Arabidopsis thaliana: one gene and its partners. The protein of the gene in region 1 interacts with the protein of each later gene in a pairwise test. Each region holds a gene or a part of one and is shown on either strand. Other genes may lie near its edges.

Evidence for each region. Proteins that work in one complex are often made in the same cells at the same time.
Region 2: the proteins of NAC071 (region 1) and AT1G11510 interact in a two-hybrid assay, tested with the Arabidopsis thaliana proteins (one large-scale study listed by BioGRID).
Region 3: the proteins of NAC071 (region 1) and RBE interact in a two-hybrid assay, tested with the Arabidopsis thaliana proteins (one large-scale study listed by BioGRID).

Annotation. Positions count from the first base shown.
Region 1 is NC_003075.7:9,977,828-9,982,954, forward strand, and holds NAC071 (NAC domain containing protein 71), read right to left. Parts: upstream 2,729-5,127; 5' UTR 2,212-2,728; coding exon 2,055-2,211; intron 1,965-2,054; coding exon 1,675-1,964; intron 1,572-1,674; coding exon 1,347-1,571; intron 1,257-1,346; coding exon 1,050-1,256; coding exon of another isoform or gene 1,023-1,049; 3' UTR 876-1,022; downstream 1-875. UniProt on the Arabidopsis thaliana protein: Transcription factor involved in tissue reunion of wounded inflorescence stems. Required for the division of pith cells in the reunion process, which is dependent on polar-transported auxin and the wound-inducible hormones ethylene and jasmonate.
Region 2 is NC_003070.9:3,871,073-3,875,514, reverse strand, and holds AT1G11510 (DNA-binding storekeeper protein-related transcriptional regulator), read left to right. Parts: upstream 1-2,585; 5' UTR 2,586-2,678; coding exon 2,679-3,737; 3' UTR 3,738-3,792; downstream 3,793-4,442. Other genes in the region: AT1G11540 (Sulfite exporter TauE/SafE family protein), read left to right, coding at 1-39; CXXS1 (C-terminal cysteine residue is changed to a serine 1), read right to left, coding at 204-359, 521-643, 920-997; AT1G11520 (pliceosome associated protein-like protein), read right to left, coding at 1,896-2,486; AT1G11500 (transmembrane protein, putative (DUF1218)), read right to left, coding at 3,945-4,173, 4,271-4,442.
Region 3 is NC_003076.8:1,827,500-1,831,762, forward strand, and holds RBE (C2H2 and C2HC zinc fingers superfamily protein), read right to left. Parts: upstream 1,688-4,263; 5' UTR 1,608-1,687; coding exon 927-1,607; 3' UTR 651-926; downstream 1-650. Other genes in the region: LBD33 (LOB domain-containing protein 33), read right to left, coding at 3,297-3,551, 3,650-3,928. UniProt on the Arabidopsis thaliana protein: Probable transcriptional regulator essential for petal development. Required for the early development of the organ primordia of the second whorl. Acts downstream of AP1 and PTL.

The DNA of each region.
Region 1 (5,127 bases):
CCTTTTTACGATGATGGGAATTAGGAATCGGATGCTTTTTCCTTTTCGTGTCTTCGTTTTCAGAATTTACTAATAAGAAAATTATCGTTTCTTGAATAGAAAAAACTATTATGTGTTTCGTTGTGTAATGAATTGAGATGTCTGGTTAAGACAAACAATACAAGGAGAAAGATACAGTCGTAATGTTTAAGGCCGGTTATTTCTGGTCCGGCAATTTGAATTTCCGGAATTTAATTGTAAAGTGAAAAACAGAAAAAAAAGAAAAAACAAAAAAAGGAAGGGCCCAACCGGGTTCGAACCGGTGACCTATTGATCTGCAGTCAATTGCTCTATCACTGAGCTATGGACCCAATTTGATATTGTTCACATTTTGTAAATCATATAGACTATATATCAAAAGTATTTCGTAGATCATTTTCAAGAGGAAGAAATATTCTTATAAATTTTAAAAGAATGAAATGTAGAAAGCTCATGGAAAAAAGAATTTTGTTTGAAAGGTCTCTAACAATTGAGAAATGCAAGCTTTTGGGATTTTCATACATCTGTAAACAAATTGCTGCGTCACATAGTTTTTGATTTTAATCTCTGCATATTTATGGAATTTTGTTTACATAAACTTTTGAAATGTCAAAATGGTCCCGAAACTATTGCTTTTATAGACAAAATATTGGATTTTTAATGCAAATGATTGTTATGACTTCTACATAAGTTGCTTTATATAATATAAGTTTGGTCCAATTAATGATTGAGAAGAACATGATTGATTCTCTTTGCATATATCATATCAAAGGTATCGGAACATTAAAATAAGACTCTATAATAACGTAAATCTTCATACGAAAAAACTTTAAATAAGGAATTTATTATACTCATTCCTTATATTAGCAAACAATATATATAAAACTAAAATAAAAACCAAGAGTAAGATAATTAAATTCTCAAAAGAAAATGATAGACGTTCACAACTAGTTCTTCTTCTTCTTCCAAGTTCCAAGACACCAACGTTAAAAGGCGTTTTTGTCCTAAGAACGAACCAACATTTCTTGTAGCTAAAAAAGGTTTGAGTAGTCAAATGAACCGGTTTGGTCATTTTCATAATTTGTCCAATAACCGGTTTGCATCGACTGATCAATGTCCTGGTCCACATTGAAATAACAAGAGCTCACCGGAAATTCCACGTGGTGGTTTGCCGTGGTGACCGGAAAATGGTAGTTGGGAAAGCACTCAGAAGCAACCTCCTTAATCTGAGGATAATCCTATATTTAAAATCACAAAACCAAAAACACATATCAGACCACTACTGTCTATACAAAAACTATTTTGGTTTAGATAATAGATGTAGGTACCTTTGACGAATCAAGGATGAAATCAGGAGAAATCCAAATGCTTGAAGAGTCGTTTGTAGTAGAAGAAGGCTTGAACGATTGAATCTGCGACGCTTCATCGCGACAAGGAGAGGTCGCGAGGCTAGAGTAACAAGAACCAATGTCTTGTTCGTTTTTATTTTTCAAACTTTTCGAATTTTTCTTCAGTTCATTCTTCTTAACTACGCGACATAACGCAAAAGCTCCCTAAAATTCAAACATATATATGGTTTTTAGGCTTCGTTCCATTAGTTCATAAAAATGAATATTATGAAGTTGGATCAAATGAAACGAACTCTAATTTTCTTACCTTGAAATTTGGTGATTTTTGTGAATGATCATCAATATCGCATAGACGATATTCATGCATAAACCAATTAGTTCTGTCGCCTAATGGGGCACGACCTTCATAGAAAACTAAGGTTTTTCGGTATCCAGCTATAACATGCGATGATTTACAAGTGATTTTCCGGTCTTTACCAGTTGCTTTCCAATAACCCGCTTTTGTAGCCCTATTGGTTCGAGAACCGTTTGCATATTTTTTGTCTCTTGGACAGAAAAAGAACCATTCCAAATCTCTATTTGGAAGGAAAGATTTACCTAAAATTCAAAGATAAAATCAAACAAATTTAGTTTTATTTAAATATAAATTTATGGATAAAAATCTAATTGTTTTCCTTTTCAAATTACCTGGCAACTCCCAAGGATCAAATTTGTATAAGTCGATAACAGGAATGACTTCAAGCTCAATCTCGAGACCTTCTATTTTTCTACTCAAGTAGTAGCCTATGAGCTCTTCATCAGTTGGATGAAATCTAAATCCTGGAGGCAAACATGAACTCCCCATTTGCAAAATTCACACTTGTAGCTTGCGACACAAGAGAGTTGTCGAAAGCTAATATTTAACTAAATATCTATTGACTATTTGGAAAATCTAAAAATATAAACTTTTTTCGACATTCAATTTGTTTTTGAAAATAAGTTGCAACTCACTTTGATTGCATCCTTTTTGTGACAATATCATTGTCTGAAAGAGATTGTATGTTTACAAAAAAAAAAACGAATTATCCAAAATTCTCTTTTTAAAAATATATCTAACACCTAAGAAAAAAAATAGAAACAAACTTAAGGTACAATTCAGAAATAACGAAGAGCAGTTGGTGGAAGAGCTAATTGCTGCGGGTCAAAGAGTCTGACTGAGGAAAAGGGTTCTCTGACTTATTAGCTATACAAGACCAAAAAAAAAAAAAAGTTATTAGTGAGTATTGATTAGGAGAGTGATTAAGATCGGAGAGAAGAAGAGAAGGTTGGTAGAGTGTTGAATGGTTGTGGGGTGAATGATATTTATAGCACAAAGGTTGCGAAACTTTGTGAGGCAAATTTAATCATAGCTTAAAATATGTTGATGAATTTTTCTGTAGAATAAACAAACAGTATTATAATAGTCAGTGCCGTTAATATTCAGAAGAAAAAATAACTCGACACACCGAAAGCGGATAAAGACATTGCTTGTCTTAAGAGTTCCCAAAATTCAAAAAGAAAGTGGACCTACCTGGTCTCTAAAGTTAGACTTGTTCACACTTCACACATCAATGATTCAATAATACTATCACCTATAATTAATCAAAACTTATTTTTCTATTTTTTAATTTCATAAGACGTCGTTTCGTTTTGTAAAACGATATGTTTATAGGTGTGTTGGCAAATTAGTCACTTTTGAAAACATAATTATGGAGTTGGGCAAGTTACTATTTACACTTGACAAAACATGTAACTCACTTTGGGCGTGTAATAGACGAGCGTGAAATAGAAGTTTGGGGTGGGGTAAGTGATGTGTTTTGAAATTACCGAACTATCCTTTTGACAGAGAAGAAAGATAAAAGTGAAATATTCTTTTTTTTTTTATTTCTTTTTAATAACCCCTCCAATTTAATAATTGAAATACTTATCAATATAAATTTATTTTCTAAACTAATTCATATACATAAAAATCTATGTATTTTTCTTTATAATTTGATATGCATTTTGTTAATATTTTTAATATATTACAGACATTTTATCAGTAGTCGGTACACTTAATTATGTGTACAGACTTTATTTTGTACGTTGCATTAGCTGTACAGAGTATATAATTGTATGGAGTATACAATTATCAGTAGTCACTTTTCACTGTTGATTCGTACACTTAGACCTGTACAATATTTTTAGTGTATATATATATATATAAATATACACAACGTACACTTACATCTGTACACTAAAAAATGTTGTACAGATCTAAGTGTACGAATCAAACAGTTAAAAGTGACTACTTTGCAAATTGTGAATAGTAAAATGACTATTTTTCCAATTATGGCTGGACGATTTCAATTTGTACTTATTAAATAAGTTGTATAAATAAAAATCTGTACACATAATTAACTGTACTGACTACTAATAAAAATGTTTATATAATATATTTAAAATTATTAACAAAATGCATATCAAATTATAGAGAAAAAATATAGATTTTTATGTATCTGAATTAATTTAGAAAATAAATTTACATTGATAAGCATTTCAATTATTAGATTGAAGAGGTTATTAAAAAATAAATAAATATATATATATATATATATATATATATATATATATATATATATATATATAAAGAAATACAAAGAATGTGAGTATGAGGAGAGAGAAATGTTGAATCTAAAAGCACAAATCCCAATTGCTTTCAACGACATTGGAGAAGAAGAAGATTAGTGGCATATTTGTAAATAATAGAGTTGGTATGGGGTATATTTGATTTTGTCTGTAATAGGGTCAAAGGTTAGTGACTAAAAATCCAATTATAAATAGTAATTTGCCCAATTCCATAATTAAGTTTAAATATCTGACTACTTTACAACTTAACCCTATGTTTATTTGCATGTCATTCTTGTATATCGGATTAGTAAACCTTGGTTAACCAAAAAGAGAGAGATATATTTTACATTTCTCTAATGTTTTTTCTAGCTCGTTTCTTTGATATAAGTATGTAACGGGAGTTTTAGTTCTAGGTCATAGAAACTCGGTCCTAGCTAATTCTTTTATTTTTCCTTTCGTTCAATATTCTAAACTTTTTCTTGACTATTTTGAAGGGGGTGTAACAATGTTCCTCCACGTCAGTATGAGTAAGACAAAACTGCTTTTTATTAGAGTAACCACTTTCAACTTTTAAGACATTAGAAGAGATAACAAAACTTTGAAGAAAATTTTGTTTATTGTCTTCTTTTTACCGGAAATATGTTATTGTTTAAGATGTAAAGTTGTAGTTTAAAGTTTAGTTCCCATTTGTGTAAGACCCGATAGCTGAAATATTCAAGAGGAAAAGAAAATAAAAAAATATTGGGAAAACGAATGACTTCACGAGATGGAAATGTATAAGGTTAATAAGTTCTATATACCAAAAAGTGCACCTTATAATTATACGATACTTTAGGAACGGTCACCATGACCCCTAACACTGATTAAAGAGAGACAAAAGAACAAAAATGAAGAAAAAGGCCTAAAGCGTGAATAACTACGTCATATGGTAGGAAAAGAAGAAGTTAGCCTATGAAATACGAATAACGGATCTTCTATGTTGACTATACTGAGCCCTAATTTTATATATCAAAAAGTACCATATACGTTTGAATATTATGTCGTTACTAATTAATGTCCGGGGGTAAATTCATATCAGTAGTCATATCGGAACTATTTTTGCAAATTCTAAATAGATTCAACCGATATCATG
Region 2 (4,442 bases), on another chromosome or scaffold:
GTCTCTGGTCGCTACATGGGTTTCAAATTACCCTGTTAAGAACCAAAATTAAATAAATCCAGTTCTTGTTTATAACAGAACTTGCTTTTATAAAAATTTACACTTACACTTGATATTTCACACAAACCAAATACCAAAGTTACAAACTAATTACACTTCACACAAACTTTATTTAGTATTCTGCTCGTATCTATAAATCTCTCTTAAGCAATATGAACAACACGTGAGGACTGAACGAAACCATCGACCCGTTTCTTAATCTCATCAGGGTTTGCGCCCACGAGTTTGTCCATCGCATTACCATCCTTCAAGAACAAGAAAGTTGGCATCGCCTTTACCTCTAGTTGACTTGCCACTTCCTGACCAATCCAACATAGTAAAAAACAAAGAAAAACCATTAATCATCTACCAATTTAGCAACTGTTTAAATCTTTTACTCTTGATGGTTAAACACTTCTCTTCAACAAAGAAGCCAAAGTAGAAAGACATATCAAGTAGAGAGACACATAAGTAGTTTTACCTTAACTTCATCAACATCAACTATTAGAAACAGAGCATCCTTATAGTTAAACGCAAGCTCTTCGAAGAAGGAGTTCATAAACACAGAAGGAATACACCATAATGCAGTGAAATGAGCCACAATCTGCAAAAAACCATAAAGGAACAACCGTTCTTGGTAATTCATATAAACAAACAAGACAGAGCCATTCATTCACAATCCTGAACATTAATATTCATGGTTCATTCTCACTAACTTCATATCTTAAAGAGTAACACAATTTGGATTTAACCAATTGTAAATCAAATTCTCCATAAAACTCTAATCCTAAGATCTTGATTCTTTCATAGGTCTTGGATCTAAATCAGATTTCATTTTGGCTACTAGAAAACGAAAGTGATAAGAGGAAGAGAGACTTACGGGACAATTCTGATTCTTGGCTTGACTCACATAGAAATTCCATGACTCTGCAGAATCGATTTTAACAACTCTTGCCATCTCTTGGAGCTTCCTTTTTTTCTAAATCTCAAACAAGATTTGGTGATTCAGTGTTTATCTACTTGCATGATGGGACCGAGTGGACAAAAACTATGTCTGAGTCATACACAAAAAGTGTGGCCAGTTATCTTTCAACGAGTTACGAAATAATTTATTAATTTCTAAGATATTTAAGAATAAGTGTTGACCAAGAAAGCTATATTAAAAAGAGAACCAAAAAGAAAATAGATATTTTTTTTATGACTATATGCAATGTTAATGTTTAGAGGAATTTCATTGGTGGTTTCTAAATATAAGTTTCTTAACATTAAAACAACAAAAATAATATTATTTAATTATGTGGGTTTCTTAAATATTTAGAAATTCTCTCCAAAATTTCTTATATAAAGTATTTTGGAGATGGTTTCTTCATTAATCAAAAAACCCACACATTTTTTTATAATAAAACTTATCTCTCTAAAATAAGAAACTTAAGTTTAGAAACCATTGATGGGGTTTGAATCCCCTTACAAGTCAGAATAATAAGGGGATTGAATTAACTTACATACTGCAGAAAGACCAAATCCTTCAAAATGTAAATATTAGGTTTACACAATGATGCAATCACCTATTTAAAAATTTACATCATTGGTGGTCTAACATTTTTTTTTTTTTTTAATAAGCATTAAGACTAAAAACTCAAGATCTCTTACTCAAGACTAATAATTCTGGAACATGAATCTCTTTCTATGTCTCATGTCCAGAATCTAAAATCTTTTTTTTTTTGTCTCTTCCATAACGCACCTCAGAAGTTGAAATCTTTCTTTTTCTTCTCTTCCTTGCCATGCATTTTCCTCTTCCTACTATTCTGCTACACATGCTCGACGACCATGTCACTCAAGTCCACTGGCTTATTGCGCTATTTCTCCTCTTCTCTTGCCTCCTCATACTGTAAAACATTTCCCATAGCATCCAGCTCTTCTGGCTGTAAACTGAAATCCACTCTATCTGTCTTTTGCCCTCTCAGCAAATCAACCCTTTTGGTTCCCGTCTTGTCCTGAGTACCAGTCTTAATAACGTATGTGTGTGTAGTTCTCAGCAATGTTCCAGGAGCAACAACACTCTCTCCCTTTTCTTCAAGTACCTGGTATAGAGCCCTATCAGGTTCCTTTCTCTGTTCCTTACGAAGTTCAATTGCATCCGGTGTCTCAATACCAGTAGGAGTGCTTGACAGAGATTTTGACACGTCCATTGCATCTACATCGGCCTGAGATGCTTTGTTCTTCTTCTTCCGCTTCCGTCTGCGGCGGCGACGGTCGATCTCACGAGATTTCTTGGGAAGGACGCTATCAACGTGTGCGACGATTGAATGAGCGGTCATATTCGGGTGTTGTTGTGAAAAGAGAGATCTAACATTTATTTGTAAGAGATAAAATATAGGGAAATAAAATTGGTCAATATAGCTAATTTCCAAATTTTTAAGGAAGGAAATCGGAAATCTAAACGTCATGCAAAAAAAGAGGAAAAACAATAAATAATTTTATACGTTTTCCAATAATTTTTTGATTATTTATTTTTGGAAAACAGAGAGACACTTTGTTCAATATATATAAACCCTAAGAACGAAGTGGTGAAGGCAGCAAAGCAAAAATCTCAATTTCAACCTCTTAAGTCTCTCCAAAGTCCCATAAACCCTAAAACAATGTCGAGACGTTTCAATCCGTTAGAAGATCCGCCGAGTGCTTCTTCAAGCGACGAAGAAGGTAAAGAAATCGCACGAAACTCTTCTTCGGATGATGAAGATGACGTTTCCTCTGAAAACCCATCACCTTTGAAGACGACTCTCGACGCCGTTTCCGATTCCGAATCTGGTTCGGATGAAGAAACCGATTCAGACTCTGAACTCGAGAAGAAGAAAGATCAAGTTGTGACGAATCCTGTGGATGTGAAGAGGGCTAAGAAGGTGAAAACCTCCGAGAAATCTGGGGCTAAACGTTCTCTTGAAGTGGATGAAGCAGCAGTGTCTATGGATGTGAAGAGGGCTAAGAAGGTTTCAGGGGAAGAGGAGAAGAAGAAGAGTGGTGGCGGAGGAGAAGAGACGAAGAAAACTTATTTCCAGCGACTTTGGACTGAAGATGATGAGATTGTGGTTTTACAAGGTCTGATTGATGACAAAAAAGATACAGGGGTAAGTAATACGAATAAGGTTTATGAGTTGGTGAAAAAATCTATTAGTTTTGATGTTAGTAAGAATCAGCTTATGGAAAAGCTTAGGGCTTTAAAGAAGAAGTATGAGAACAATCTTGGTAAAGCCAAGGATGGTGTTGAACCTACTTTCGTCAAACCTCATGATCGCAAGGCTTTTGAATTGTCTAAGTTAGTTTGGGGAGGTATTAGAATGGCTCTTGCATCTGGTATGAAATCTAATGAGAAGTCGAAGAAGAGTAGTAAGTTTGAGTCTGTGAAGCATGAACTTGATTCTTCTTTGCCCAACAGTAAAAACAACTGTGAAGATGAGGTGATGGATGAAGGAGAAGTCTCTTTTACAAAGTCTTCTCTTGTTAGATCGATAGTGGGTCTTGGCATGGATGAACTTACTGCTCAACAAGGATTGAGTAAGCTTGCCTCAAAGGATATGAAGAGATTTTACGAGCAGTGGAAAGCGATGCAGGCTAGGGAATTTGAGTTCTTTTTGCAGAAGCATGGTTTTCTTTTTGAAGTGCTATCAAAGATATCTGAAGCATTTGGATCAAACGCTTAGATATATTTATGGTTTTTGTTTTTTTGGTTCTGCCTCTTTTGTTTAGAACTCTTGGCTTTTTTATATTATATTTTAGTTTTCTATTGATTCTTGAAAGAGTTTATTTTGGAATATTGCGGATTTATCAAAATGGAAGGAAGCTTTTTTGAAGCAATTTAAGTTTATTTACAGATGAAACATTTTGTGTATCTTGATGAAGAAGACGTGTTATGCGCGGCTTCTATTTGCTAGATTTTCTTGTTGCGCATTCTCTTTGTCTTCTTTTTTAGCAGCAATTGCTGAAACATAATATGCTGAAGTCACCACTCCATGTCCTAGACAAAATATGCCTCCAATAAGAAAAAACCAACGATGTGGCAAGCTGCAGAGTCGATTCGTTCTCGAGTTGGCTAATGTTCCTATCATTAGCGTTGAGTAGCTGACAACAAAAAAGATCCTAAGACAAACAAAGGTATGTCAAAAACAAAAACAGCTGACATAATTCAAATTTGTCTTTTGAATGAAATCCAAAAACCTATTATCTTTTCCATTACCAGGAGAGAACAAGGAAAGCCACAGCGAGTATCTTGTTCGCCGTTGCTCTTTTGAAATCTTGCTTAGAGCGAATGTAAGTGCAGCCTCCAAGCACATTAGCTAGGACATGGACAATAAACAGAAGCACCATTGCAGCTACTCCCTCAGCAAATGCTCCATCGCTGGGGCTTC
Region 3 (4,263 bases), on another chromosome or scaffold:
TGCATATGCTCATTACATTTCTATTTAATTCGATCATTAATACTTTGATAGTCCATTTTCCTGTTTACCAAGAGAAATAATGAAAAAATATATTTATCACTGTTCAGTATTTGTTTCCAGATACAGTTTTATTGATTTATAAAATTTCGAAGCCAACTAGTTAGAAAAGTAATTTTTGAAGTTCCTACTATTTCCAAACATATAAAACACAATGATTATATACTGTCTTTCATGTGCCAACCACTGATACAGCAATATATGTAAAAATGTTAATTTAGATTGGAGCTTATAGTAAACATTGATTACGTTACGGCTATTTACAAGTAAAACCCAAATACCCAACTATAGGCTTCTTTTATTTGTCACCACCCAATTATAGGCTATATACATCAGTTATCAAGATTTCAGTTAGGTTATATATAATTTATACTTATTTCTTCTTATTCTTAAATTGCATCGTAAGATTATGATAATTCGTCTCTAATTTCTCTTACGGTTATTAGGAGTTCACATGGAATACCAGACTAATTTTCATCAACGATAATATTTTTTTATTTTTTTTTTTGCCTACCAATTATTTAGTGTTAATTTAAGTTTGTCATCACCAAGACACTCCAATCACCAGACCTTTTCAAAATTATTACGGCAACTCCAATCAAAAATCTTTCGAATAGGCATAAATATTGAAAACCAAATCGTGAGAAAGTTACATCATTCGTAAGAAAAAGAAACAATCAAAATATTTTAATTGTCTTATGAATTAGAGCAAAGACTATACGTGTTGACTTTATCCATAAGATAAATATATTACTATATCAAAGCCAACACTACAGAACCTACTCACTTTTCACTCTTGAGATTAGAGACAGTTTAACTTCTTCTTTTTGGCAATCACATTAACTATTATTACTTTTTAATTACTTAAGCTAGTTAACCTTAGGCGGATCAGCTCCTAGCCTTAGCTCAAGATCCAACTCCTCATGATGGCCGTTGATCTCGGAAATTCCAATGACCAACCCTAACATCATTGGAAATCTTGACACATCCGTCTTTGCCCTCTTCCATGACGAAGATGATCCGTTGATTAGTTGCTTCTTCCGAGGATCAAACTCAGTACTCAGTAGACCGACCGATAAGTCAGTCTTGACTTCACCATTGTCATGTTCATATCTTTTCATAGAACTTTCTAAAACGTTGTTATTACAAACATCACTTATCTCCCTCTTGGTTCCGTTAGGCTTTCTTGTTTCTTCTTGAACAAGAACCTTTGATCCCACATCAAGAACTTGTTGTTGACGATCACATTCAGGAGGTGTGGCTTGGTCAGTTGATGAAGGTGATAATGATTGTTGTTTGAGTCGAGCTCGGTCTCTTCGATGAACGTTCATATGACCGCCTAGTGCTTGCGCCGACTTGAACTCTCTCCCGCAAAAGCTGCATGAGTAAGACCTCGGTGGCCACATGCAACCACCTCCGCCGCCATACTCCTCAGCTGACGCAAACGCTCTCTCTTCCCTAAACGGCCAAAATAAAGTCCCATCCGAAGATGGCCTCGTCACCATCGGTCTAAGCTTCATCGACATCAAGCATTCTCCTCTATCCATCATATGTAAGATTTTTCTATGCAGTAGAAGAAGTTAAGGTGAGTGTTTTTTTTGTGTTTATTTATGTGGGAGTAGTGAAGTATGTAGATTTAGACGCACGTAGACTTATATAAAGAGAGACGCATATAGATAGAGGTATGTGTGTGTGTGTGTGTATATGACTATATGGTTAAAGCATTGAATGTGAGAAAGCAACGTGGAGAACCATGAGTAAATAGGGAGAGGCTTTGATGGGGAAAGTTCTCTTTTACTTTAGTTACTCGTATGTCTTCACTCTATACATGTTAAATGTTTAGATATTAATAATTAGTTGGTGTGAGCTTTTGATTTGATAATAGTTAAATTAATGCCAGACGCAACTTAAGTTTTCCACGAGTCTACAAAATTAATAAGTCAGAGTCGATATTTTCTAATAACACGTAGCTAATAATATGACAAAAACTATGGTTTAATTTGAAATCTTTATAACAATTTTATGGAGTCTAAAATATACACCATATATCATCGGAATCATCGGATGTATGTGGCTGTGAGGTACAGGGGCCCAACAATTGATTTATGATTAATTATATTGATTTAGCTAATTAGACAATGGAGCCGTGGGATACTGACAATAATTTATCGTGTGATTTATTTACAATTATTATACGGATGAAAAGTAGAGATATTTGCCTGGAATTTAGATTATTTTTATCAAGACGTTAATTGAAGGACTCATATGTCAAGAGATTCTTTCTACCTATCATTGTCGCCATATTACGGGTTTTAAGACAGTACGAGAGAAATAAACAAAACGAGATTGGAGTACAAACTACAAAATATCCAAACCAAAGTGACTTAATTAGAACGCAAAAATATATTTTTTGATTATTATACGAAGAATGTGATAAACCGCTAAAACATGAACTTCGTTTTCGTAATTTTGTTGAGATTGTTGCATCAATTTTTTTATTATTTTTTTGGTGTCGTAACAAGACGCCAAGACCTTTTCAATAATTGAAGACATTATCACATCATTTCTCGGATAGAAGAAAAACCCACTTACATAAGAGGCTTTTGGGCTTGCAATGGTTTACGATTCAGATGGGCCATTGGGCTCCTAAGAAACTTTTAGACTTTGATATTGGATTTATATAGATATTTCAAGCCCAACAATAACTAAGAAAGATCCAAGAATTCCCAAGATCAAAATAATTTAGAAAATTGAATATTTTTGTAATATATAGATTACATGTTTATTATACATAGATTAATTGTTCAAAATGATGAAATATCTTTTATGATAAATTATATGATCTTAATAATTAAGAAAATTAAATATATTTTGTTTTTTATGACGGAAAGACAGTTCATAGTTATACTATATACCAATTTAATTCTCTTTATTAATTTATAATAGCATTTTATATAGTATAATATTACATTAATTAGAATTTAACCGAATGGTACACAATCAATTTTACAGAGACCCCTCAAATGAAAAACTAAAGACATTGTTTTAGAAATCCAACTTTAATTGGAGGGTTAAGATATGCTTAATCCTTACCAAATTGCATATGATAAATAACGCGAATGTAAATAACAAGACTGATATACAAAACATAAATCAGATTTATCATAACAACAAAACCATGCTCCACAACTATTATATATAGATCCATCGTTTTTAGTTCGCGTCGAATTTTGTTGTGCTTAGTAATAATAATCCATGTTCTGGAGCCATTGATGATTCACGAGCATTTCCTCTGAGTTCGTGAAGAACCCATCATAGCAGTTTCTTCCGTCGGCATTGTTCAAAACACTCTCGTCGACGAAATTGGTCGTGGCCATAGTCATCTGATTCACAAACTCCGGTATGTTGTTAAGTTGTGATCCGTTTTGATTAGAGTATGAAAAATTCTTCATCTGTGACCCGAGAAACTCAATCTCTTCTTGCAAAGTCACAACCTAAAAAAATAAACCCACCAAGCAACGTGATCAGACTGCTTGAAATGGTCTAAAATCTCAACAAGAATAAAAGAATATCGTTCAAAACTTTAAGAGACCTGTTGATGAAGAGCGAAGATGTGAGCAACGCAGCCATAAACAGGATCACGCATGCGAGAGAGAGCCTCGTAGGAGATGGTGATAGCAGCGATGTTTCTTTGATGTTGAGGCAAATGAAGCAAATGTTTAGAGACATTACTTGCGCCGAAGACTTTGTGAACCGCTGCGAAATGGGAAGAGGCTTGTTCGTAGCTGAAGTAAGGCGAGAAGACGCAGTCGCGGTTGCATTTCCTCCTTAGAAACTTGCATGCTCCACAAGATGATCCATGACTTGCCATTTTTTCTTTTACTCTGTTTTGTTTTATGTTTTTACCTTTTGTTAGATTGAGACAAATCACGTTGGTTTTTATAAGCCCCACCACTAAAAGTTCTTGAAAGAAGGGCAAAAGAGTTCAATTTTGAGATAAACATCAATCATTTTTATAACTTTATAGTATTTTACTTACACTTGATTGATCAATATTCTCATGAATAGTAAGGTACAAATTAGACACTATAGTTAAATTACATTTTCGTTTTTTTTTTTTGGTACGAGTATATATGTTGTATGGAATACATATATGTACGTCGAATTTTCATAATATCCAGTACGTGTCTAGCTAGTGTCTCTTCT